Pelodiscus sinensis: one gene and its partners. The protein of the gene in region 2 interacts with the protein of the main gene of each other region in a biochemical or structural test. Links are inferred from orthologs where the notes say so. Each region holds a gene or a part of one and is shown on either strand. Other genes may lie near its edges. The genes, in order: RAB11FIP4, RAB11A and RAB11FIP1.

What was found.
Region 1: the proteins of RAB11A (region 2) and RAB11FIP4 form a complex in vitro, tested with the Homo sapiens proteins (2 studies listed by BioGRID, with this or other methods). The link is inferred for Pelodiscus sinensis from reciprocal best matches to the Homo sapiens genes RAB11A and RAB11FIP4.
Region 3: the proteins of RAB11A (region 2) and RAB11FIP1 form a complex in vitro, tested with the Homo sapiens proteins (2 studies listed by BioGRID, with this or other methods). The link is inferred for Pelodiscus sinensis from reciprocal best matches to the Homo sapiens genes RAB11A and RAB11FIP1.

What each region holds. Positions count from the first base shown.
Region 1 is NC_134730.1:18,980,619-18,988,620, forward strand, and holds the start of RAB11FIP4 (rab11 family-interacting protein 4), read left to right. Parts: upstream 1-4,978; 5' UTR 4,979-5,038; coding exon 5,039-5,191; intron 5,192-8,002. UniProt on the Homo sapiens protein: Acts as a regulator of endocytic traffic by participating in membrane delivery. Required for the abscission step in cytokinesis, possibly by acting as an 'address tag' delivering recycling endosome membranes to the cleavage furrow during late cytokinesis.
Region 2 is NC_134724.1:5,321,783-5,329,924, reverse strand, and holds the start of RAB11A (ras-related protein Rab-11A), read left to right. Parts: upstream 1-5,023; 5' UTR 5,024-5,121; coding exon 5,122-5,161; intron 5,162-8,142. UniProt on the Homo sapiens protein: The small GTPases Rab are key regulators of intracellular membrane trafficking, from the formation of transport vesicles to their fusion with membranes.
Region 3 is NC_134738.1:15,051,754-15,059,752, forward strand, and holds the start of RAB11FIP1 (rab11 family-interacting protein 1), read right to left. Parts: upstream 3,050-7,999; 5' UTR 2,965-3,049; coding exon 2,615-2,964; intron 1,795-2,614; exon of another isoform or gene 1,095-1,794; intron 1-1,094. UniProt on the Homo sapiens protein: A Rab11 effector protein involved in the endosomal recycling process. Also involved in controlling membrane trafficking along the phagocytic pathway and in phagocytosis. Interaction with RAB14 may function in the process of neurite formation.

The DNA of each region.
Region 1 (8,002 bases), on a different chromosome or scaffold from region 2:
AAGGGAACTCCCACTTAGTTCAGCCTTTCATGCTGTGTCTTCCTATTGCAACTGCAAGGCAAGTGAGTACAGCACACAATCAGCTCAGCGTGCCCCGGATACTCCCAGCTTTCAGATCTTAGTCCCTGACGCCCAGCATCCTGCTTCTGCCCTTCACATCTCAGCTCCCATGTGCTCTGCGCTGACATATCTGCTCCGGGATCTCAGCTCTAAGCTTGGCCGTCTGCAGTGACAGTTTCTTTACCGTACTTTGCCGCTCTCGGATATCGGCCTTCTTGCAGATTTCGCGGCACACCGGTTTTGCATGTCGGTGCTCAAACTCCAATTTTCAGCCTTAGCTTCCAGTGCTTCTTTGCAAATGTAGCTATGGCTTGGAACAAATATGAGACAGAGTGATCCAGTCATTGAACAGGCAGATTTAGTGTATGCTTCCCTATCTTTGCCAGTGCATAGCCACCCTGACTTGCAGCTCCCAGCCTAGAGCAAAAGAGACTGCTCTTTCATCATAGTAAAGGTGGAACTTCCACGGATGTCAATGAAGATTATTGCCAGAGAATAGTGATAGAAATGTAGCCGTGTTAGTCTGGGGTAGTTGAAGCAAAATGCAGGACAATGTAGCACTTTAAAGACTAACAAGATGGTTTATTAGATGATGAGCTTTCGTGGGCCAGACCCACTTCCTCAGATCAAATAGTGGAAGAAAGTAATTGTATCCTTTGGTATATATGGTTGTGACTACTTTCTTCCACTATTTGATCTGAGGAAGTGGGTCTGGCCCACGAAAGCTCATCATCTAATAAACCATCTTGTTAGTCTTTAAAGTGCTACATTGTCCTGCATTTTGCCAGAGAATGTGTTCCTTTGGGCTGATCAGGCACAACCAAGCATACCCATTTTTATAGTGCACTATGTAACACACACCAGTGCAGGCTAGGGTGCCATGTTGCAACTCATGATTGTATCACGATTGTTGTGCTATTTGGTGAGTTTTCTTAAGCTCCAGCTCCTAAAGTCAATTGCTTACAGGAGATGATCAGCTTTCCTATAAAACACAAGAAAGTCTCCACAAACTAATGGAATCTAAATTAGCTGTTACAGTTGAAGAAAAATCTTGGAGTCATTGTGGACAGTTCTCTGCAACCCTCTGCTCAATGTACAATGGAAATAAAAAAAAAATAACAGAATGTTAGAAACCATTATGAAAGGGATAGAAAAGAAGGCAGAAAATATCAGAAGCTATCAGTCCATGGTATGATGAACTCCAGTCATCTGAAGAAGTGGGCTGTGCCCATGAAAGCTCGTGATACCATCTACATGGTTTTTTTTTCTGTACAGACTAACTCGGCTAACCCCTGAAGTGTGGAGAAAATGAATGGACCTGGAAATGTTACATACCCTGTCACCTAACACAAAAACCAGGAGTCACCCAAAGAAATGAACAGGCAGCAGGTTTAAAACAAACATAAATAAAATACTCCTACACATAACACACTGTCAACCTATGGAACTCATGGCCAGAGGATGATGTGAAGGCCAAAAGCATAACAGTTCAAAAAAGCATTAGCTAAGTTCATGGAGAGTAGGTCCACCAGTGGCTATTAGTCAAGATGGTTAAGGGTGTGCAACCCCATGCTCTGGATTTCTCCAACATTTAACTGCCAGAAGCTGGATTTCTCCAACAGGGGATAGATGGCTTGATAATAGCCTTGTGCAGTTCATTCCCTCTGAAGCACCCAACTTGGTCATTGTCAGAAGATACTGGGTTAGATGGACCATTGATATGGCCCAGTCTGACTGTTTATACGTTCTAAATGTCAAGAGTTGTGGAGAAAAGCTTGAAAATGTGGCCCTAGGGCAGAGGTGGGGAACTTTTTTTAGGTCTGGGGCCGATGACCCACAGAAAAATCAGTTGGGCAGGGGGCAGCAGGGGCTTGAGTGTATCACGATTTTTCCGTTAAAAGCATTTCCGGAAAATCATGCCTGTTTAGACATAGCCCAGTAGTAGAGCTGAAATCCTTATACATTTTTTTAATGTGTCAGGTCACAGTACTTATTTAAAGACTGTCTTATGGAAACTGGAATTTTTAAAATAGGTTGCTTAAAGAAATACCAAGTTGGCAGTGTCTCTTTAATCCCTCCCCTCTGTCTGTTGCCCCTTCAAATTAAGGTGGCAGGCTGTGGGAAGCTTGCACTGCTTCTGTTCCTTACACTGTCACTGTTCTATGGATCAACATAAGACATCAACCCACAGGGCTGTCAAGCAGGTTTTCTTCCTGAACATCAAATGCACACACAAAGAGGATGAAGTGTGTGTTTGGAGAACCAAAACTTCTGGGGAGGGGGGAAATGTATGGCCCCTGGACCAGAGGAGGGAAGAATTTTGATGGGCTTCTTTCTATCATGGCATTTCCAGAGACATGAGGCGGAATGTGAGACCTTTGTTATTCTGTTTTGGGAAAGCAAGAAATGTATGAGATAGTGTTTTCATTTCAAAGCCCAGTGCTAAGTGTAAAATCTTTAGCACAGAGCAGTTTAAGGGAGCGGCCTTATTAACAGTCTGAAAAACATCACTCGTCAAATCACACAAGATGTAAAATGGAATATTTACAGGACCCAGGGCATAATTCAGAAAGAGGGATCCATTCTTTGTCCACTTCTTTGACCACCTAGAAAGCTTGTGGATATAGACTAGAAGGGCTATTTTAAGCCAGGAGGTCGGAGGGGCAGTAGCAAAAGGGTTTAATTAAGAAAAGATAATTTTACACTGAATCGTTATTCAGTGATGATATAACTTGCAATGGCAGGCGAGTCATTAAATGACTTGATCATGTCTGACTTATATTGCCATGCAATGTCCCCTCTTACAAACCAACACTGCTGCAAAATGTTTTTTGAGTAGCACAAAATCAAAGATGCCTCTATTCACTTTATCTGGAGCAGACAGGTGCTTGCTTTTGTTTGCCCTCTCTTTATCTTAGTCGCACACTTTCTTTTCATTTCCAGCTCTCCTCCATTTAATCTGATTTTTCTTTATTTTATATTCTACTGACTTCTAATACTGAACTCTTTCATGATACTTTTCAGCTGTGGAGCACAAAGCACATTACAAAGGAGGGCAAGTAGTATTATCCCAGTTTTACAAATTGGGAAACTGAGGCACAGAGGGAGACCCGGGTTCCCTGAGTCCCAATTCCATGTTATAACTGCTAGCGCATGACAATCCCTTTGCTATTAGTTATCTGCTTAGACTCTCAGCCGGTCTCCCTCTTTTTTTCCCTAGCCCCAGAAAATACTAACTATCTCCTCTCCCCTAGTTTTTCTTTGGCCAGTTTCCCTTCTTGCCCTGTGTACCTGGTGAGTGGCTGCTGTTGTTGTCCCCTCCTCCCCATTCATTTCATTTCTCCTACTTTTTTTGTTTTTGCCTTTCTCTTTCTTCTTCCCTATTTTGCCTGCCCCCTTCTCTCCCTCACCTCCTACCAATGTGATTTGCCCTTTCTTCTCTTACCAGATCCGGGGTAACTGAGAGCTTGGTTTAGGCCTCCTTGCTCCAGCTCCCATCAGCAACTACAGCAGCCTGACTCCACTGACCAGACAGTAAAGTGCAGCCCTGTGCCAAGGGGCACGAGCGGAGCCAGAGACCCCTAAGGAGGTGGCCGTGTCTCCTGCTGGTGCCTCTGTGCTTTTAGCTCTAAGGGATGGTCTCACCTGACTCCTCCCTACCATATTTGCTATCACTGGCTGTTCTCTCCCCATTCCTTCCCTTAGTTCTCCCTCTTCCCTGCCCTAAAACACCCTCCCCCTGCTCTGCATCCCCTCCCTTCTCACATCCCCCTCACCACAGCCCTGGTCCTCCCATTCCTGGTTCTCCCCTCCTTCCCCAGATCTTCCTCCTCTCTCACACACCCCCTCTCCTAGATCCTCTCCCCCCTTCCCCTCCCCATTCTTCTACCCCTTTCCTCTAGCATCTTCCTCCCCCCTTCTCCCTCTCCCCTCTCCCCTAGTTCCTACCTCCTCCTGGTCCTCCCCCTCCTCTCTCACATCCCCCTCTTTGTATCAGTCCTGGTTCTCCCCCTCTCTTGTCCCAGATCCCCTTCCTCTCCCACACACCCCTCTTCCATTCCCTCTGTTTCCCCCCTTCCCTTCTCCTTTCTTCTACCCCTCTCCTCTCCCACCTCCCTCCCCCTCCCCTCTCACACACACCCTCTCCCCTAGTTCCTACCTCCCTCTGGTCCTCCCCCTCCTCTCTCACATCCCCCTCTTTGCCTCAGTCCTGGTTCTTCCCCTCTGCTGCCCCAGATCCCCTTCCTCTCCCCCCCTTCCATTCCCCGTTTCCCCCCTTCCCTTCTCCTTTCTTCTACCCCTCTCCTCTCCCACCTCCCTCCCCCTCCCTTCTCACACACACCCTCTCCCCTAGTCCTCCCCTTCCTCTCTCACCCCCCCCTTGCCTCAGTCCTGGTTCTCCCCCTCTCCTGCCCCAGATCCCCTTCCTCTCCCCCCCTTCCATTCCCCGTTTCCCCCCTTCCCTTCTCCTTTCTTCTACCCCTCTCCTCTCCCACCTCCCTCCCCCTCCCTTCTCACACACCCCCTCTCCCCTAGTCCTCCCCTTCCTCTCTCACCCCCCCCCCCCCTTGCCTCAGTCCTGGTTCTTCCCCCTCTCCTGCCCCAGATCCCCCTCCTCTCCCACATACTCCGTCTCTCTCCTAGTTCCTCTCCCCTTCCCCTGTCCTCCCCCTCCCCTGGTTCTCCCCCTCATATTCTCCCTCCCCTCCCCTGGTTCCCCCTCTCCCCTCCCCCTCCTCTGGTTCTCTCCTCCCTCTCACACTCCCCCTCCCCCGGATCCCCTTCCTCTCTTGCACCCCCTCCCCTAGTCCCCTTTCTCCCAGCGCTCCCCCCCCCCCCCCGTTCTTTCCCTGCTCCCCCCCCCCCCCCAGCTGGCTGATGTCACACGCCGGCTGCAGGGAGGGAGGGAGGCAGGCAGCCGGCGATCATGGCTGCTGGCGGCCGGAGCCTGGCGCGGGGCTCGCGCTAGGTGCCCGGCATGGAGCCCGCCGGGCCCGGGGAACCGGCCGACTGGCCGCGGTTGCTGCGGAAGCTCAAGCAGGTCTTCGACGTGTGCGACGAGGATGCGGACGGCTTCATCCGCGTGGAGCATTTCGTGGCCCTGGGGCTGCAGTTCGGCCAAGGGGAGGAGGTGAGAGGGGCCGGGGGCGCGCCCAGACCCCGGGCTCGGGGGGTTGGTACCCGGGGCCGGTTTCCTCCATCGCCTTGGATCCCCCCCCCAGCTTCCCTCCCCCGCCCTGCCTCCTCTCCCCTTGCACCTGCAGCCCCCTCTGCCCTGGGCATCTCTGTCCCTTTGCAGCAGCTGGCACCGAGGCTGCCCCTGCAAGAGACCAGCGCTTCGCCTCCCCCGGGGCGCCCGGCGCCCGCAGGACCAGGCTGCAGCGGGCTCCGATCGCGGCGGAGGCGATTGCATGGAAATGCACTTTCTCCTGCAGCCTGGAGCAGACAGAGACACCCTCAGGGATGGGGCGGCTGTGACTCCAGCCCCCTCTCGCCCCCCGCGGGAGAGGGGCAGGTATGTGTGTGCAGCCGCCCATTTTGCACCGAAACCCTCTTTCTCTTGTCACTATGAAGCAACTTCACTGAAGTCTCTGCTTTGGAACACCCCACCCCCTTGCCAAACAGGTAAATAGGCCACGACCTACATGGCCTTCCATGGGAATGAACCCTGGAGCAGGGTGAAGCAGAATATAACCCAATATAATTTTTTTGGTCTGAATCAGACTGCAGGGCCAGGCTCCTGTTCTCTTGAGTTTATTTCCTACCCTGCTGTTTTGCCCTCATGCAAATAGCTCCCGTCTCTCATGAAACACCTGGGTATGACCTTGTTTACAAAGCTGGCCTTGCTTTGCCTTGTTTTCTAAGCAGATATACACCTGCTCTAGTGAACAGATGTGTGATGAGTCTGGGTTTCGCTGGTTTTTTGTTTGTTTGGCCAGGGCATGACTGTTCTAGTGAAAGGAAAGGTTTCTCTGGCCTGGTAACATTCCCTCCTTAGCTATGTGAACAATCTGAAAAAAGGTTCCATAGAGGAATAATTTGAAAACAGGCTCCATCAATTATGCAAACAAGATGCTCTTTTGAAATGGGTGCTTTTGATGCAAACCCTGTCACTCTGTTATGGGTCTGTCATAATTCCTTATACAAGTAAGTCTTGTTTGGCCTTCTTGGTGTTTAAAGAACACAGAGTACTTTCTGGAATGCTTTTGAAGATATTTAGCAGCATCACATTACATATTACTACAATGGAACACACAGAAAAGCTGTGAGTTAGAATTATGGGCCTATCATTGACTCAGGCATACAACTGGAGTCACTCCACTGGCTTCAATAGAGCCATAACTTCAGTGGAATCATTATCACTGCATTACATCAGTGTACAGAAGAGTAGAATTTGGCCCCATGTCAGAATAATTACATGCATTTCAATTGGAACAGTTCCTCTTAAATGATTTTGTAAAGAGAGAAATCTCAAACAAAATTAACCAGACATAAAATCTTGAATTTCACGATACAATTGCTCCCCTTCAGAATACGGTATTGCCTCTCTGAATCGCTACATAACAAAATGCTCTGACACTTGGAAAAAAAGGAGGCAGTGCCACAAAACAAAGCTGATGTCAGGATGAAAAGTTCTGACCTTTTAAAATGCAGCAAAACATTAATCTGCAGAGATTGTAACGAGAGATACGTTTATAAAAGAGATCCAGGGAGGTACGATAGTAGAAAAGCATAATGAATTCATAGTCATTGTCAAATGAAGTTACTAAATTTGGATTGGAAAATTGGTAATGGAACAAGACTTGTGAATTAAATTAAAGAAACAGGAGGCTCCATTTCTTGCATCTAATCACTGAGTTGTTTAATATTTCTTTAATGAGAGACTAGTGCTATTTTTCAGTTACCAGTAATATAAGGAGAAGAATGGACTAACAGGAGTGAGCTTTTTGACCTCTCTGTTTTTATTTGTCCATTGAAAAGTTATACATTCCTATATAAACAAAGGGCCTAAATTCTTAAATCCATATTGCAAGAAGCATTGTACTATGGGTGGTTTTTGTATTACTATATTTATTTCATTCTTAGATCAATAACCTTTTCTTGCTGGCATTTTGGAAGGCTTGTAAAATTCTCTGGCCTTTGTTTTGCTGGAGATCAGTCTTAGATGATGATGTTCTTTATGACTTTAGCATGTACGGAATCTATCAGGTTATTAGGAGTGGAGCAGGGAGAAAAATTGGAGCAAGCAGGTTGACTCATGTCTTAAAATGTCTTTATTTTTTTGTAGATGAATGTATTCGAAATATTTAGACGTGGAGACTGATGAATTAAAATATTGGAAAATTATAAACCGTGAATGGTTTATTCTAAATTTTTGGGAGGGACTTAGATGACTGACTAGGCGCCAGAGAAATAAATAATATGCAAATAAGAGATTAAATTACAGGCTGCAGCATATGTCTAGCTAAACAGGGTGAATGGTAATGAGAAATGCCCCGTAATCATCATTACATTCTTGTTAGTTGTAACTGACAATGTTTGAAAAATATACTTGCAAGAATGAGACCAAGGAATTTACCTCTGTGTAGCATGCATATTAGAACTTGTCTTAATTTGTCTTTGTATACATAGTCTGATCTGAAGCCAATTGTTGATGTCATTGAAAGACCCTTGTTGATTTTATTGGGCTTTGGAATTGGATCAAACCCTCAGTCCTTGATATGTTACATTTGTTGCTTTAAGTGGATCAAAGCAGAACTTCACATCTGAACTCCTTTAATTTTAGTGTGTTAAGTGCATGTGGATTCATGTCCCCTGCCTCTACAGTTTTGGTTCTGGGACAGCTCCTAATCCAGAAGGGTCAGTGCTAGTTTATAGCTTTGGTTGCTGCAGCTAAAATATTAACATTTGAGGCCAACATCGCATGAAACTAACGATCTGA
Region 2 (8,142 bases):
CCAGGAGGGTTTTAGGAAGTACGGAGCCCAATTCGAACCATTTCGACGAGGTCCCGGCAGCCAGGATTTTTTCTTGACACTCACCAAAAAAATTAATAAAATAAAAAATAAAAAATACACATACAAAATTTTGGTTGAGCCAAAAAAAAAAACCCAAAACCCAACAAAAAAACAGCGCACAGAAAAAAAAGTCACAGTCCCTTTAAATCTCCACCTTCCCACCAAACCCTGGGCCCTGGGGCCAACTCACTCGTTCTGCGGTGCACAGAAGCCAGCCATGCCAGCACACTGGCGTGGGGCCCAATTTGGGGGAATCGGGCGAATCAGCCTAAAGCTGGCCCTGGTAATGCCAATGCACCTCATCCCTAGACTGCTGAATTCTCTGCTATTCCAGTGCTGAAGTACATACTCATCAATAATGTTACTACCCTTCATTACCTATATGAAGTATCCCATATAATTCAAACCTGGCTGCCTTCAAACCTATGTCAATGCTCCTTGTTCTTGGTTTGCCACACTTCCTGCTATCCCAATCCTGTATGCACCTTAGTCCTGGTAACTTTCTTGCTCAGGGGTAGGGAAAAACACCCTCCACTCAGAGTGCAGCAAGTTACAGCCCTGTAAAGCTGCAGTGTAAACGGGTTCCCAGCACTGTTAGCTAGTACCCTTAAGGAGGTGTTTATCCATGACCACACTGTAGTGACAGGACTTTAAACCTGAATGTATAGATGGGGATTGATACTGCAATGATTGATCCACCAGTTGTCGATTTATTATGTCTGCTTAGACATGATAAAGCAATCCATGAGTGCTCTCTCATCAATGCCAGTATTCCATCAAGACAAGAAAAGTAGCTGGCATCTTGGGAAAGCAACCCCTACTGACCTTACCGTACACTAGACGCCATAGTAAATACATCGACTTCAGTTATGCTGCTTGCGTAGCTGAAGTCACACACATTTGATTGATGATGGGGGTTAGTACAAAAAAGGCCAAAGCCTTAGATTGACATCATTCTATAGCGTGGACATTCCCTCAGGAATAGGTGCCTAATTGGTGGGTTCTCCAGAGCTCAAGCACACACAGAAAAAAAATAGAGGGTGCTCATCACCCACTAGCCCCAGTGATTCTGGCCTTGGGACTGGCCACTGATCAGCTGTTTGACAGCCCCAGGGCTGGCCGCCAATGAGCTATTTGTCAGGTGGGAGATGCTTGGGGGAGAGGAGGCAGAGAGGAGGGAGTGGCAGGTTGGCTCAAGGGAGCGGGCATAGAGAGGGTGGGAAGAGCTGGAGCTAGGGCGGAGGGAGAGGAGAGCCTGTGGGAAGAGGCAGAGCATGGACAGGGCCTTGGAAAAGGGGCAGAGTGGAGTGGGAGTCCTGGGGCAGACCAGGGATGGAGCACTCACAGGGAAAAATGTAAATCACCTCTTGTGCCCTGCGGCACCGAAAGTAATCTACCCTGCAATAAAAGACCTGAGAGTGGCACAGGATAACAGCCTTGAGTTTGCAGGGCTCTGACATTACAGTGTAGAACCTAGGCTCTATGATCTCATGAGGCAAGTAGGCCTCAGCTCCCAGGCATCTACAATGCAGTTTTCAGTCTATCAGCCTGAATCCACAGCCTGGTGTCTGAGCTATGCAGTTTTCACTGCAATGTAAACATATCAGAGGAAACTAAGTGACACGCAAGGTCACAGAAGCAGTTTGTGGTAGACCAAGGAATGAAACCTAGATCTCCTGAGGGCTGATCTAGTGCCCTTATTATAGAGCATCCTTCTTCTTTAATGGATGAACTATTATGTACTTTATTTTATTGCAAATCAATGGCTCCACTCAATCTTTTATTTTCAATGTTTCAGTGTTATTTTCAATGTTCGCATATTGGTGTGAATTTAACAGCATGTTCTTAAATAAACAAAAGATTCCATTAAGGGTTTCTTCTTATCCCAATGAATGGTGCTTGATATTCATAGTTCTCCTTAATGCCGGTGGGCTACATTTCTATAAAGTGAGATCAGAACATTCCCCTTAATTATGCAGATGTGTAACCGATCAATTCCACTGCCAAAAGCAATCTTGTGGAAGAACAAATTTTAAAGGCTCCAGTTCAATTATATGGCCACTAGTATCATTTTAACTCCTCACATCTTGGTTTCAATACTGTGCCATGGAGGTCAATGGCAAAGCTCTCACTGACTTCCACAGAATTGAATCCAATCCCTATGAAATAAGAATTTCAGGGATTGTACCCAAGTGTCATCGCTTTACATTAGACAGTCCTTAAGCAACACTCATTCTCCCAACAGCATTTTTGGATAAGTGCTCAAAACAGCTTTGCTCACCTGTGTTTTTTCTGATCCCGTGGTAAGAGGGACATTGTGGTACCAGATTTTTATTCACATCATGTAGGACACATTCAAAGCTGTTTCTGCCTTAGCCCAAGCGAATGCTTGAGTATCTTCTTCTGCTCCCTCCTGCTAAATGAGTTTCCCCCTGCCAAGCAGAACTTTATGACCTACTTCTCCCTCCAACAGTTTTTTTTTTCAGGAGAAAGACTAGATGTAAGATCTTCAAGACTAAAGACAGGGTTTTCAAAAATCTACCCAATCTTTGAACTGAGGTGATGTGAAGTGGAGCACACTGACTGTTCATTTTGTTCCCAAATAGCTCTAGATTTTTTTAACACTCTCTGTGGACACAGCACATTTCCAGAGATCCTCACACACAAGGCTCAGTCCTACTTGCTTTCCTCTTCAAGCCCCCACACCATGAGCCCTCCTCGACATAGTGAACTCTTTCACAGACTGGAGTGGTAGTTTACCTTCACTGCCCTTGCTGATGTGATAGTTCTGCCAAGTCCTGGACATCTCACTGGAGACTCCTACACATGGAGACCATTTTCTTCAGTTGACTGGGTAGAGTCCCATGCTTGGTCATACCTAGAGTACAAAATCCACCGTGTAAAACTCCTATGCCAAGTTGTTCACACCCTGTGGCCAATGAGTTACTTATGTGTTAAGCAGTGGCGGGCAGCCTGTGGCCTGCGTGTGACCCATGGGGTTCTATGTGTGGCCCATGAGACATTTTGTTTACTGTACTCCATGCACAGTTGCCAGATTCTGCTGGGTTCCATCTGCATTAGTTTTTTTCCTTCCTATTACTAAAGTGACACACAGAGCGAGGGCATGTGAAGAGGTGCATGCTGAGTGCATGCAACATTGACTGAGAGCTGTGCGCTCCCTGTACATCCACTCAAAATGCTGCTACAGTTGAATCAGCACACCATGCAAATTCTCCGAATGCAAGCACAGCTAGCAAAACTACCCTATCCTAGGAGATGGTCTTGGTTATGACAGTCTTTCTGCCCACTAAGATGAGAAGGGCCACTCATGCAGCCCACTCACTGACTTAGGATGCCCATCACTGATGAAAAGCATCCAGAGCGCTTGGTAGTCACAAGGCCAAAGAAAGTTACGTAAAAGATTCACATTTTTAATTTGTCTTTCCCTAGCAATACTTGTATTGCATGGATCCGGGTTATCCTAAGCACAGGGACTCAAAACTCCAGCTCACCATTGATTTGCTTGTAACTTGGCTACTTTCAGCCCCACTCTGTGCTTATTGCTGAGAGGTTTGTGAGCCTGATTGAGTCTCCTCGCTGCCCTAATTCAAGGCTGCTCTTTGCAGGGAGACAGCTGAACAGTTTTACAGGTGTCTCCTCCTAAATATTATTCTACACCGAATGATCCTGGTATTAATGATTATTAGTGTAACAGAAGAACTCTACTCCTTACTGGTTATTGCAGGGGTGTCCAAACTTTTTTCAAAGAGGGCCAGATTTGATGAAGTGAACATGCGTGAGGGCCGACCATTTTGCCTGACATTCTTTGAACCATTAAAATTAAATGCAAATTAACTATTTTATGCAAAGTTTATTGCAAACGGCATACTTTTCATTTCGTCACATGGATGACAAATCTAAACAGGTGTTAAATCACTCTGCCTTTCATATCTGAAGGCCAGATGAAAAAAAAATCCAGGAAGCTGAAATATGTCAGGAACATTGTAAAGTACATTGCATATTATTGGTAATAAAGGTTGTCTGTCAACTTTTAAGTTCCAAAAATATGAACAGGAACATAACACCAAGTATACATGTTGTGTCCAAATATATTTATAACTGATTTAGACCAACTGACATTAACTGAGATTTTACAATGTATTCATCTCAATACATATGGATTCGTTGGGGGCCATAAAAGATAGATATTGCCAAGTTACCTGGGGGGCCGTATTAAACCGGAACACGGGCCGCAATTGGCCCGCGGGCCGGACTTTGGACATGCCTGGGTTATTGCAACCAATAACTCCCAAAGCACTTGGGCTGGGTAAGGGACCACAGAGATCCAATAAGAATTAATGTATTTGTATGGACAACAATTAGATCTCTCGGGGAAAAGAACAGTGCAATGCCAGTAGGACAGAGCGGGAGGGTCCCACCTGCAGCTTGGAGAAGGGCGAGAAAAAAAAAATTCAGGTTCCACCGAGATTTGAACTCGGATCGCTGGATTCAGAGTCCAGAGTGCTAACCATTACACCATGGAACCGCCGTGGCGAAGTAGCGCCCGGGCGGGCTCTCGTTCTTGCTGCGGTTGGGCGGGCTCCCGCTTGGCGGTTGGGGTCCCAGCGAGGGGAGCAGCCGGGGTGCGCCCCGCCTGGGTCTGTGGGGGGCAGAGCCGGGATACAAGGGGGGCAGCCGGGCCAGAGCTCCCTGTGGCCAAGGCTACGGGCCCATAGCGCGAGGGGCCGGGGCCCCGTGTGTGTGGCGGGAGCGGGCGTTACACCGAGCCCGTGACAAGAGCCCGGCACGCGCCTGCCCCCTGCGGCCAGCGGGGAGGCGGTTGGCGAGCGGTTGGCGAGGCAACCCGCCGCTCCCGTCGGTGGGCGGGGCCAGGGCGGCGAAGCTCCTCCCCCGGCCGCTGGGCGTGGTGCTCCGCGTGACCCCGGAAGCCGTTCGCCGGCGGGTGGGGCGCGAGAGCGGAAGTGCCGCAGCGGCTGCAGGGAGGGGTCCCGGCTCTGGCAGTGCGGCGGCGGCGGCTCCCGCTCTCTGGCTGCGCGCACCATGGGCACCCGCGACGACGAGTACGACTATCTCTTCAAAGGTGAGCGGCGCGCCCGGGCCCTGCCGCCCTCCGCGCCAGGACGGAGCCTCCCGCGGAGGGTTTCCTGGGGAGCGGTCCCCCAGGGCGTGGACGAGGTGGGGGGGGGGCGCCCCCCCGGTTGAGCCGGCCCCTCCCCCAGGCGCGGACTGGATATGGTGGGGGGCAGCATTGCCCCCAACTGGGTCCGCTCCTCCTCCCGAGGCGTGGGCTGTGTATGGGGAGGCACGTCCCCCCCCAACTGCCTAGCGGGGAGTGGGAGGAACAGCCAGCCCCCCCCCCAACCGGAGGTGAGGATGTGGGGAGGGGCTTATTCTCCCTCCCTCCCCCCATTGGGCTGGCTGCTTCCCTCGAAGCGTGGACTGGAAGTGGGGGGCACATTCCACCCCCCCAGTTGGGCTGGCCCCTCCCCCTGAGGTGTGGCCTGGATATGGGGGACGCAACATTCCCCCCAACTGGGCTGGCTCCTTCTCCAGAGGCATGGGCACATTCTCTCCTCCCCCTCCCCCTCCCCCAAACTGGCCAGCAGGGTGTGTGTGTGTGGGGGGGGGGGGGGAGGAGGAATATTTCCCTCAGCTGGACCAGCCAGCTGGTTCTCTACCCTGATGTATGGACTGGGTGTGTGGGAGAATAGCCCTCTCTTCCCCTCTGCCCCCCCCACTTCTGGAACCAAACTTGTAAAAGTGCAAGATGTAAGGGTGTTCCAGTCTTTGTCAGGTCCCTAAATTTGAAATATCTATTCCTGGATTTGACTCCTCTGTAATATCTTCTGACCTCACCCTACCAGCATCATGGAGTGGGACAAAACTTATCTTGTTGGTAATGTTTGTGTGTCCCAGCATTTGATTTTGGCTGAGAGGATGTTTTATCCTGTGTGAAGTGTATTCCAGAGGTTGCTTTGCTATAAAACTATTTTGGAAGCCATTTTTGTCATCATTACAAAGCAACCTCAGTGTCTTTAATTTCTCTAAGGGTTTAGTAAACCATGATCTTGGCTTTCTTTTGTGGGACAGAGGAAGTGGTTTGCAGAGGTGCTTGTTCCTTGATTTGATAGTGTAATAAGTAATTTAATGTTCAAATTTCAGTGTCTAATCGTATAGTCAAACTCTTAAGACTGAGACCTGCTATTTAGAGCCAACTGCTTTGGAAGGAGCCTTGTGTTGTCAGGTTCTTATTGCCCAAAGAAGGCTGAATACTGACCACTAAAGATGTAGCTCCAGAAACCCTTTTAGGTTGTCTTGCCTTGCAGAGTATTGTTTTAAGTACTGGACATGTGAGCTTTGTAAGGAATGACTATTTTTGGACATGCCTACTCTAAAATGACCAATTATAACTAAATCTTGGAGCAGTTTTAATATAAAACAGCCATCATGGGCTCTTTCAGATCTTCGTACAGTGCTACTGTTCACCTCTTGAACTAAGAACAGTAAATGTGTTGAATAAAAGTAACTAGTGATTGTGTAGGAGAGTAGTCCTATTGCAGTTCACAGGTTAAACAGGGTTATTTTTTATGCTTTTCCTGGTGTTGACATAGCCTAAGCACAACTACTTTCATGCAGTAGTAAATCTTGCATTACTTGCCTCATATTGTGGTGAATCTCTGCTCCAGTGGTTGTTGTAACCATTATCTCTCACTCACTGATCTCACTTCCTGTTTTGTCACTCCATAAAGTTCCTGGAAGATGAAGGAAAAAAAATTCCTTGTTTTCCAGGATCTGGGTGCATTTTTTCTCATTTTGGTTCAGCTAAGTTTTGTTAAAGATGCATCAGAATGTAGCAAATGGGCCCTTTAACATTTATCTTTCTGAAGAATGAAACAGCAGTTGTTGCAAATGTTCACAAGTAAGATGTGCTGAAAAAACACCTAGTGAAATGGTGTGCTGCAGAACACTCAGTGAAACTTTAAAGATATCACTTAAACCACCTATTTGAAAATATTTTAGATATAGCCACTTGCTGTAATACTATAATGAAAATCTGCATGTATTGAGCCTTGGATTTAAAATATTAGTTTATACCTTGTAATTGAAAAGCAGCTCTGAAATGTGTCACAGCATATAGAGGGATGGAACTCAAAAGGGAGAATGTAAAGGTTCCCTTCCTGCCCCACCTCCCCCCATATTTAACTTAAGTGAACTTTTGTATGTTCTTCCATTTAGAAAGCATCTTTTTGCTTTTTCCCATCATTAGAACCATCTGTCAGGGCAAAGGTATACAACAAGTAAAACCAAGTTAGGGAATCTGTTTACAGCAGCAATTGTTATCTGGCAAGGTTACAATCCATTTGCCTTTTGAATTGTAGAAAAGTATATCCAATGCTCTTGTCCTGGTTACACTTCTGTTTACACTGAATTATTTAAGCCACCATCTTAAATTACAAGCACTACAAAAATTGTATTATGTGGACATATTAAGGGATAAGTCTTCTGTATGGAAAAACAAAAAAATTAAATTTATATAAACTGGTTACATCTCTATTCCAAATGTTATCTCTAGAAGAAAGAAGTGAGCATAAGGGAGGTCTTACGGATGAGGACACTGAGTTCAATCACTTAGAGTAGCATGGATGATATTTTTTATTCCTCCCCCACTCCCCTTCCATTAAATCACCAGACTTTGCAGAACAAACATTGTAGATCCTCCTCGACAATGTCACAGGCTGCGAACCTTATCTCCAAATCTGTGTGGATAATGCTGGTGTTTAGGGTAGAGGCCCACCTAGAACAGAGTCACAAGTGAGTCAGAGGAGTTGTTGCAACTTGGCTATCTCCTGACTCTGTTCAAGTGTTCATTGTGAGACTTACAAAAGTTGGGTTTTATCATTTCTTGTTGTCCTTCATGTTCCTACTCAGCGTGTTGCCCTTCGTGTTCCTACCTTTGGACTGCCACAAGGACAGGATGGCTGAAGCTGCACTGCAGAAAGCAGATGAGATCTCTGATTTTCAGTCATTTAACAAGTTTTTACTTTTACCTCAGAGAAAAAA
Region 3 (7,999 bases), on a different chromosome or scaffold from region 2:
ACTGTCGTCTTCAAAGCATTTTGAAAACATTAATCTTCATTCCTATTGTGAACTCCATTGTTCATCCTCCCACTTATCCTTAAGGATGGTATGATTCGACCCACAGGATTCAAACTGTGTCGGGCACTCATATAAAAAGGGACACAGAGATCCTATCTATGTCCGTTTGCAAAGAAAGTAAATTGTATTGCAAACATACCAATGTACTGTACAGAACACTTTGTTTTGTAGGGACGTGCTTTCATGGCTTGATTTGACCTGCAGAGCCTTCTGCTGGTGATAGGCTCTTTTTTGTGCACTGATTCTGCAGTATTAGGAGCCAGAAAAACATTTTCTCATTTTATAAATGGAAGAATATGATGAAAAGTACTTGAAGCTGAACATCAAGTCTCAGAATGCCATTTTAAAAAATCATTTTCCTTCAAATCAATCAATCCATATCTTTGTCTTTTCACAAATTGACCATCTATGCTCCTAAATCCAAGCTTTAAATTAAAAAAAAAATTTGTAGCCCTCATGAAAGAATCATTACACGCAAATCCACAAGAAGCAGAGCGGATTCTGTCTCAAAATTTCCAGTAATATAGCCAAGATACATAATTTGTTCCTATTCATCACACTGGCACGTTAATTTAGATGCCTCATGACATCCAACTTCCATGTCAACATTACTTCATAAACACCTGCTCAAGTGTTTATCCTGCAATCTGAAACTGCTCTCCACTCCCTCTCGATGTCAACAGCTTCCTCTCTCCTTACCCACTTGCTAAGCCATTGGCTTCCTCTCACCTGCCAAATTCAGATTAACTTTGCCATGGAATAGCACAGGGATTTCCAACCTGGGGTACGCGTACCCCCAGGGGGTACGAGAAGCTTGTCTAGCGGGTACAGGGAATATTTGGTAAATAACTAGATTGTCCTAATTGAAATATTCCAAAAGTAGTAGTGTTAGTGAAAAAAGTTGTGGATTCTAGAGTCTAGAATTTATTTCCTTTCATATTGAATAGGGGGTACAGGAAGGTTTACTAAAAGCCAAGGGGGTACGGGGACTGAAAAAGGTTGGGAACCCCTGGAATAGCAGAAACATTGCCTACCCAAAAACACACAGGAGAATTTCAGCTGATGTACAGCTCCCCTATTTCTCGGATTCTCTCCTTGTTATTCAAGTGTATATTCCCTGGTTTGCTCTCTCACTTGGCTTCCAGTTCATTTGATGAAGTGGGTTTTACCCATGAAAGCTCCTAAGAACAGAAGAGCAGCCAGACTGGACGAGACCAAAGGTCCCAATGTTCTGTGTGCGACAGTGGCCAATGTCAGATGCCCCAAAGGGAATGAACAGAACAGGGAATCATCAAGTGATACCTCCTCTGTCACCCATTCCCAGCTTCTGGCAAACAGAAGCTAGGGACACCATCCCTACCCATCCTGGCTAATAGCCACTGATGGGCCTAACTTCCATAAATCTATCTACAGGAGGTCCCTGACTTGCGACCGCCTGAGTTCCAACCCCTCTGCACTTACAGAAACAGTTGTAAGTGTAGAAGGGGCCGAAACCCCCCGACTTACGTCCTCAGCCCGCATTTACGATGGCACACGGCGCATGCCGTAAATGAGGGTCTGAATGAGGACGTCCCCAACTTGCAACGCTTCCCCGGGAACCGATCCTGTTGCAAGATTTATACATGTGCGCGCACACACTTTTGGGGGGTCTCCAAAGTGCCACAGGCCCACTCATTTTTAAAGTTACCTTTCCTCCCTCCCTTTCCTTTCACATAACGGGGCCCCCCCTTTTTTTTCCCCTCCACCACATCTGGGGGTGGGTGGGGGGGTTGCCCACTCCCTCCCTTTCCTTTCCGGTTACATAATGGGGCCCCCACTTTTTTTCTCCACCACATCTGGGGGGGGAGGGTTGCCCACGAGTCTCTCGATTCGGCAACGTGTCCGAGGTGTCCTGGGCCCACGGGCTAACCCGGGCCGCCCCGGGAGAGGGGAAGTCAGACCCCCCCCCGGGGGGCGGGACGTGCGTGCAGGAGGGTCTCTAGGGTGGATACCCCCGGGGGGGCGGGGCGGTGGGGGGCGGGCCCGGAGCGCACCCCCCCGGAGAGGTTCTCTAGGGCGGGGCGGTGGGGGGGCGGGCCCGCACCCCCCCAGGAGAGGGTCTCTAGGGTGGATACCCCCGGGGGGGGCGGTGAGGGGCGGGGCAGGCCCGCACCCCCCCGGGAGAGGGTCTCTAGGGCGGATACCCCCGGGGGGGCGGGCCCAGAGCGCACCCCCCCGGGAGAGGGTCTCTAGGGCGGGGCGGTGGGGGGCGGGCCCGCACCCCCCCGGGAGAGGGTCTCTAGGGTGGATACCCCCGGGGGGGCGGGCCCAGAGCGCACCCCCCCGGAGAGGGTCTCTAGGGCGGTGAGGGGCGGGGCGGGCCCGCACCCCCCCGGGAGAGGGTCTCTAGGGCGGGGCAGTGGGGGGCGGGCCCGCACCCCCCCGGGAGAGGGTCTCTAGGGCGGATACCCCCGGGGGGGGCGGGGCGGTGGGGGGCGGGCCCGGCGCACCCCCCCGGGAGAGGGTCTCTAGGGCGGGGCGGGGCGGGCCCGGCGCACTCCCCCCCCCGGCTCACCGGGTGCTGCGGCGGCCGCCCTCGTCCAGCAGCGCGGCCAGGCCGATGTCGGCGCGGCCCAGGAACTTGTCGAGGCCGAGCAGCGCGCGGTGCAGCACGGTGAGCTGCAGGCGGGGCTCGGCGGCGCCCGGCCGGCGCGGCGGCGGCAGCTCGAAGGCGGCCTCCTCCCGCCACTCGGGCGCGCCCAGGCAGCGCTCGGCCACCGACGTGGCGAACCGCTCCTTGCCCAGCGCCATGAGCGCGTACGCGTCGCTGCCGCCGCCGCCCTTGGCCCGCAGCCCCCGGGCCCGCAGCACCGTCACCTGCACGTGCGTGGGCGCCCAGCGCGGCGCGGGGCCCGCCAGCGACATGGCGGACAGACCGACAGACAGACCGAGCGCGGACTGACTGACTGACCCGCGCGCTCCCTGACTGACTGACTGACTGACTGACCCGCGCGCCGCGCGCCGGCGAGGCCGCGCCGCAAATCTCGCGAGAGCCGGGCCGGCCTCCAGCCGCCCCGGGGCACAGCGGCAGGTGGAGGGGCGGAGCTGGGGGAGGGGCGGGGGAGCTGAGTGGCAGGTGGAGGGGGCGGGGCAGAGGGGGAGATGAGCAGAGGCAGAGGGAAGGGGCGGGGCAGAGAGGCAAGTGGGAGGGGCGGAGCTGGGGGAGGGGCGGGGGAGCTGAGTGGCAGATGGAAGGGGCGGGGCAGAGGGCGAGAGGAGCAGAGGCAGGTGGAGGGGGCGGGGCAGAGGGGGAGATGAGCAGAGGCAGAGGGAGGGGCGGGGCAGAGAAGGGGGTGGGGCTGAAGGGGGCGGGGCAGAGGCTTCCTGAGGGGTGGTGGGTGGGGCCAAGGCACCCACGGTTCCCTGCTGGGGGAGTCTCACTTCAAACCAGCACCCCCGGGTGTCAGGGCTCCTCTGGGGCTGCGTAGCGCCCACCCGTCAGCAGCCACCATCTCAGTAACACCTGGCCCGCTGGACTGCCCCAGCCTGCAGACAGCCGCCCCCCAACTGCCCCCTTCCAACAGCCGCCCCCAAGTGTCCCCTTCCAACAGCCGCCCCCCAACTGCCCCCTTCCAACAGCCGCCCCCAACTGCCCCCTTCCAACAGCTGCCCCCCAAGTGCCCCTTCCAACAGCCGCCCCCAACTGCCCCCTTCCAACAGCTGCCCCCCAAGTGCCCCTTCCAACAGCTGCCCTCCAAGTGCCCTGGACATGTGACCAGCCCCCCCTCACTGCCCCCTTCAAACAGCCGCCTTCCGACCCCCCCTTCTCCACAGCCACCTTCCCACTGCCCCCTTCAATCCATTCCCACAGGAACATAGAATGAGTGGCAGGCCCCCCAGGCAAGGGAGGCTGGTGTTTATTTGGCAGGATTTCTGAACAATCACAAGTACAGTATCTCAGCTTGGAGCGTTGTGATTCTATCAGTCAAAACCATCTTTTCACCCTCAACATACCCTGCCATGTTTTCTGGCTTTATACAAGAAAAAGCTGCAAATGTAGGAGTGACCTCTGAGCTTTACAGGTCACTAGAAGCTTCATTCCTTTGGTGCCCTTCCCCTTTTCCGTAATTGACGGTTTTACACCAGGAAGCCTTGTTCTGCCCAGAGAGAAGCGGAACGCAAAGGTGGTTTCTGCAGTTTCGGTGCTGGGCTCATATCAGTGTAATGCTTTCAGGGCGGGGTGAGGATCAGACTGGTTACTCATTTACAGGAGTTGGTAAACAACGATCTCACCTGTTCCCTTAACCACAGTTCCCCAGTAAGAAGCTCTGTAGTCACTCCTTGTGCATGCTCACAGATGGGTGCACTGAGTCTTGCATTGAGAATTTCCTGGAGGTTAGGACCATAAAAGGCTATTAGCCAGGGGATAGAATTGGTGTCCCTGGCCTCTGTTTGTCAGAGGCTGGAGAGGGCTGGCAGGAGACAAATGGCTTGATCATTGTCTTCGGTCCACCCTCTCTGGGGCACCTGGTGCTGGCCACTGTTGGCAGACAGGCTACTGGGCTAGCTGGACCTTTGGTCTGACCCAGTACGGCCGTTCTTATGTTCTTATGAGGAGATTAACTGAGTATTAAAAACAGGAACATTACCTCCACTACAGCTCCTAATCTTGCTAATGCAGGAGTAAATCTTTGGAACATTTCTCTACTATGGACATAAGAGCAGCCAGACTGAGTCAGATGAAAGGTCCATCTAGCCCAGTGTCCTGTCTTCCCAAAGTGGCCAATGCCAGATCCCCCAGCGGGAACAAACAGAACAAGGAAATCCCTCCCCTGTCACCCATTCCCAGCCTCTGGCAAACAGGCTGGGGACACCATCCCTACCCATCCTGGCTAGTAAGTATTGATGAACCTGTCCTCCATGAATTTATCTAGTACTTGGTCTTCACAACATCCTCTGGCAAGGAGTTCCACAAGTTGCCTGTGCGCTGTGAGCAGAAAAACTTCCTTTTGTTTGATTTAAACCTGCTACCTATTAATTTCATCTGGTGACCCTTAAGTTCTTATGTTATGGGAACAAGTAAATAACTTTTCCTTGTTCACTTTCATGATGTTATAGACCCTTAGCATATCCCCCTTTAGTCTCCTCTTTACTAAACTGAAAAGTCCCAGTCTCATTAATCTCTCGTCCCATGGCAGCCGTTCCAAATCCCGAATCGTTTTTGTTGTCCTTTTCTGGACCTATGTGGCTGAAACTACAGTCATAAAGTTCTAGAATGAACTCACACAGGAAAGCGACAAACTTCAAGTGCTCACTTCATTCTCTTGAGCTGAGATATCACTCTTGTGATATTACCAGTTCGTCTGGGTCTCCATCTGTAAAAAACAACAACAACTTTTTGAAGGGAAAAAGTATGCCAGGATTTCTCAATACATCACCCAAATAAGCATCCCAGTGTTTTCCTTAGTGGCTCAAGTTAACACATCCTGGGGATTCACCTTCCCTCATCCTGGAACTTCTATCCTTAATGCTTTGTTTACCTTGTCTTCCAATAATTTCCCCTTGGGGACGTGACCAGTTAAAGACGAATGCCAGGCCCCATTTGTAATGCAAACAGGCCCATGACCCATGAGTCAAGTGTCCTGAGTTCTCCATGTGACCCTAGATATAAAGAGATTGCAGAACTGAAATAATAAACACACATGGGAAAAAATAAATTCACTGTTTCAGCAGAGACCAAGTATGGAAGTTGTCAGCCCAGTGCTGAATGTTGTAGCTCGTTATGATCAAATGAATATGGGGTGATGACAGCAACTGTGATACAACCTTAACTATCGCAAATGCAATTAGACCCTTTGTATTTAAATGGTACATATCAGATGACCAGTGTGTCATGGCACACAATATACAGTTGACAACAGACAGTGGCATAGGTGGAGACAGCATCACGTGCGATGCCAGATGATAAATTGCACGGCTATGCCACAAATGAGTTTATCACACCTTTGACTGCCTCACTGCCCAGTGCCCGCTAATCTGACGATCTAGGACTCGTTCCAACATTCCAAACGGCTGAGCAGCCATTTAAAAATAGTTCTCCTACTGGAGAAAATACAGCTTGTCCTTCTCTCTCCACACCTGGGATTTCTCCCCATATTTACACTGACCCAGAGGGAAAGAGATATTCTTGAGCCAGTGACAGATGCTTTATACATACAAATGTCTATAGTTTTAGAGTCCACCATCTCCTGGCCCTTTGAGGCTATAAAGCCAGGGCTGCATCCCACTGGAGACTAAATGCCCCGATAGCGACTATGGAGGTGAAACTAGACAACCACAACACTCTCAAATGAACTCACACAGGAAAGCGAGCCCTCTACACCTGACCTGTCAGTCCCATCCTCAAGTGAAATCTACACAATACTGTCAAAAGACGAGCTGGGAGCTGAAATTCATAACTTTCCTAGATATTAAAAATCAGGAACTGTGACTACGGACACTGGATTTATGGCTGATTACAACTATCTCTAACCCATTGGAACAACATTCTTCTTCCTCCTCTTTCTCTTCCTTTCCTCTGACTGCAATGAATGTTTATAGGGCCATGCCACCTTGAATGGTCCCTTGAAATATGTGTTAACTACTTGTGCTCAACAATTAGTTCCTCCTTGTATTTAGCTGTGGTCATAATGGACCGCAAGCTAAATATAAGTCCACAGTGTGACACTGTTGCAAAACAAGCAAACATGATTCCGGGCTGCATTCACAGGAGTGTGGTGAGCAAGACACAAGAAGTCATTCTTCCACTCTACTCTGCGCTGGTTAGGCTGCAGCTGGAGTATTGTGTCCTGTTCTCGGCACCACATTTCAGGAAAGAGGTGGAGAAATTGAAGAAGGTCCAGAGAAGAGCAACAAAAATGATTAAAGGTCTAAAAACACGAGCTGTGAGGGAAGGCTGAAAGAACTGGGTTTGTTTAGTTTGGAAAAGAGAAGTCTGGGGGGCGATGCCAGGGGTACTTTTCAAGTACCTAAAAGGGTGTTTCAAGGAGGAAGACGACAAATTGTTCTCCTTGGCCTCTGATGCTAGGATAAGAAGCAATGGGCTTAAACTGCAGCAAGGGAGGTTGAGGCTGGACATTAGGAAAAACTTCCTACTTGTCAGGGTGGTTAAGCACTGGAATAAGTTGCCTGGGGAGGTTGTGGAATCTCCATCACTGGAGATATTCAAGAGCAGGTTAGACAGACACCTGTCAGGGATGGTCTACAGGGCTTGGTCCTACCGGGAGGGCAGGAGACTGGACTTGATGACCTCGCGAGGTCCCTGCCATTTCTAGGGTTCTGTGACTCTGAGACTAAGTACCTTTCCCAGGCCTGGAGAACTGCTCTGTGTAAGCCCAAAAGTTTGTCTCTCTCACCAACTGAAATTGGTCCAATACAAGAGAGTCCCGCCCCCACCTTCTCTCATTAGAGTGGAGTGATTCCCCGCTGACAATCGACCTGCCACACACGGCTAGAAGACCTGAGATAAGGGACTCTAACGGTGAGATGGGTTTTGGCATTAACATCCATGTTTGTGTCATTTTCATCTGGGCTAAGACACCCCCTGAGCCCCACTGGATCCGTTTCATCCTCCTCTTTGCATGCCTGTGTGCTGCCTTGGAGGGTTCACCTTTTGGGGCGTGGCTCTGTGATGCTTCGAGTTTGGGCTACGCTCCGGAGTTTTCCCCAACTTTAAGCTTGGCTGGAAGGTGGGAGGCCTCAGCACGAGGCACAACAAGCCTAGCATTGCTGCTCGCGGAACGAAAATACGTGCAGCTGGGCTAGTGAAAGCCTGAACCGGCCTGCCCGCTGGCACACCCAGATCCAGATAGCCTGGTTTATAGGTCAGACCTTAAACTGAAAGGTTTTTATTATTTATGGCCCCTTGTGCAATAGCTAGGCCAGGTGTGGATGAACGTCT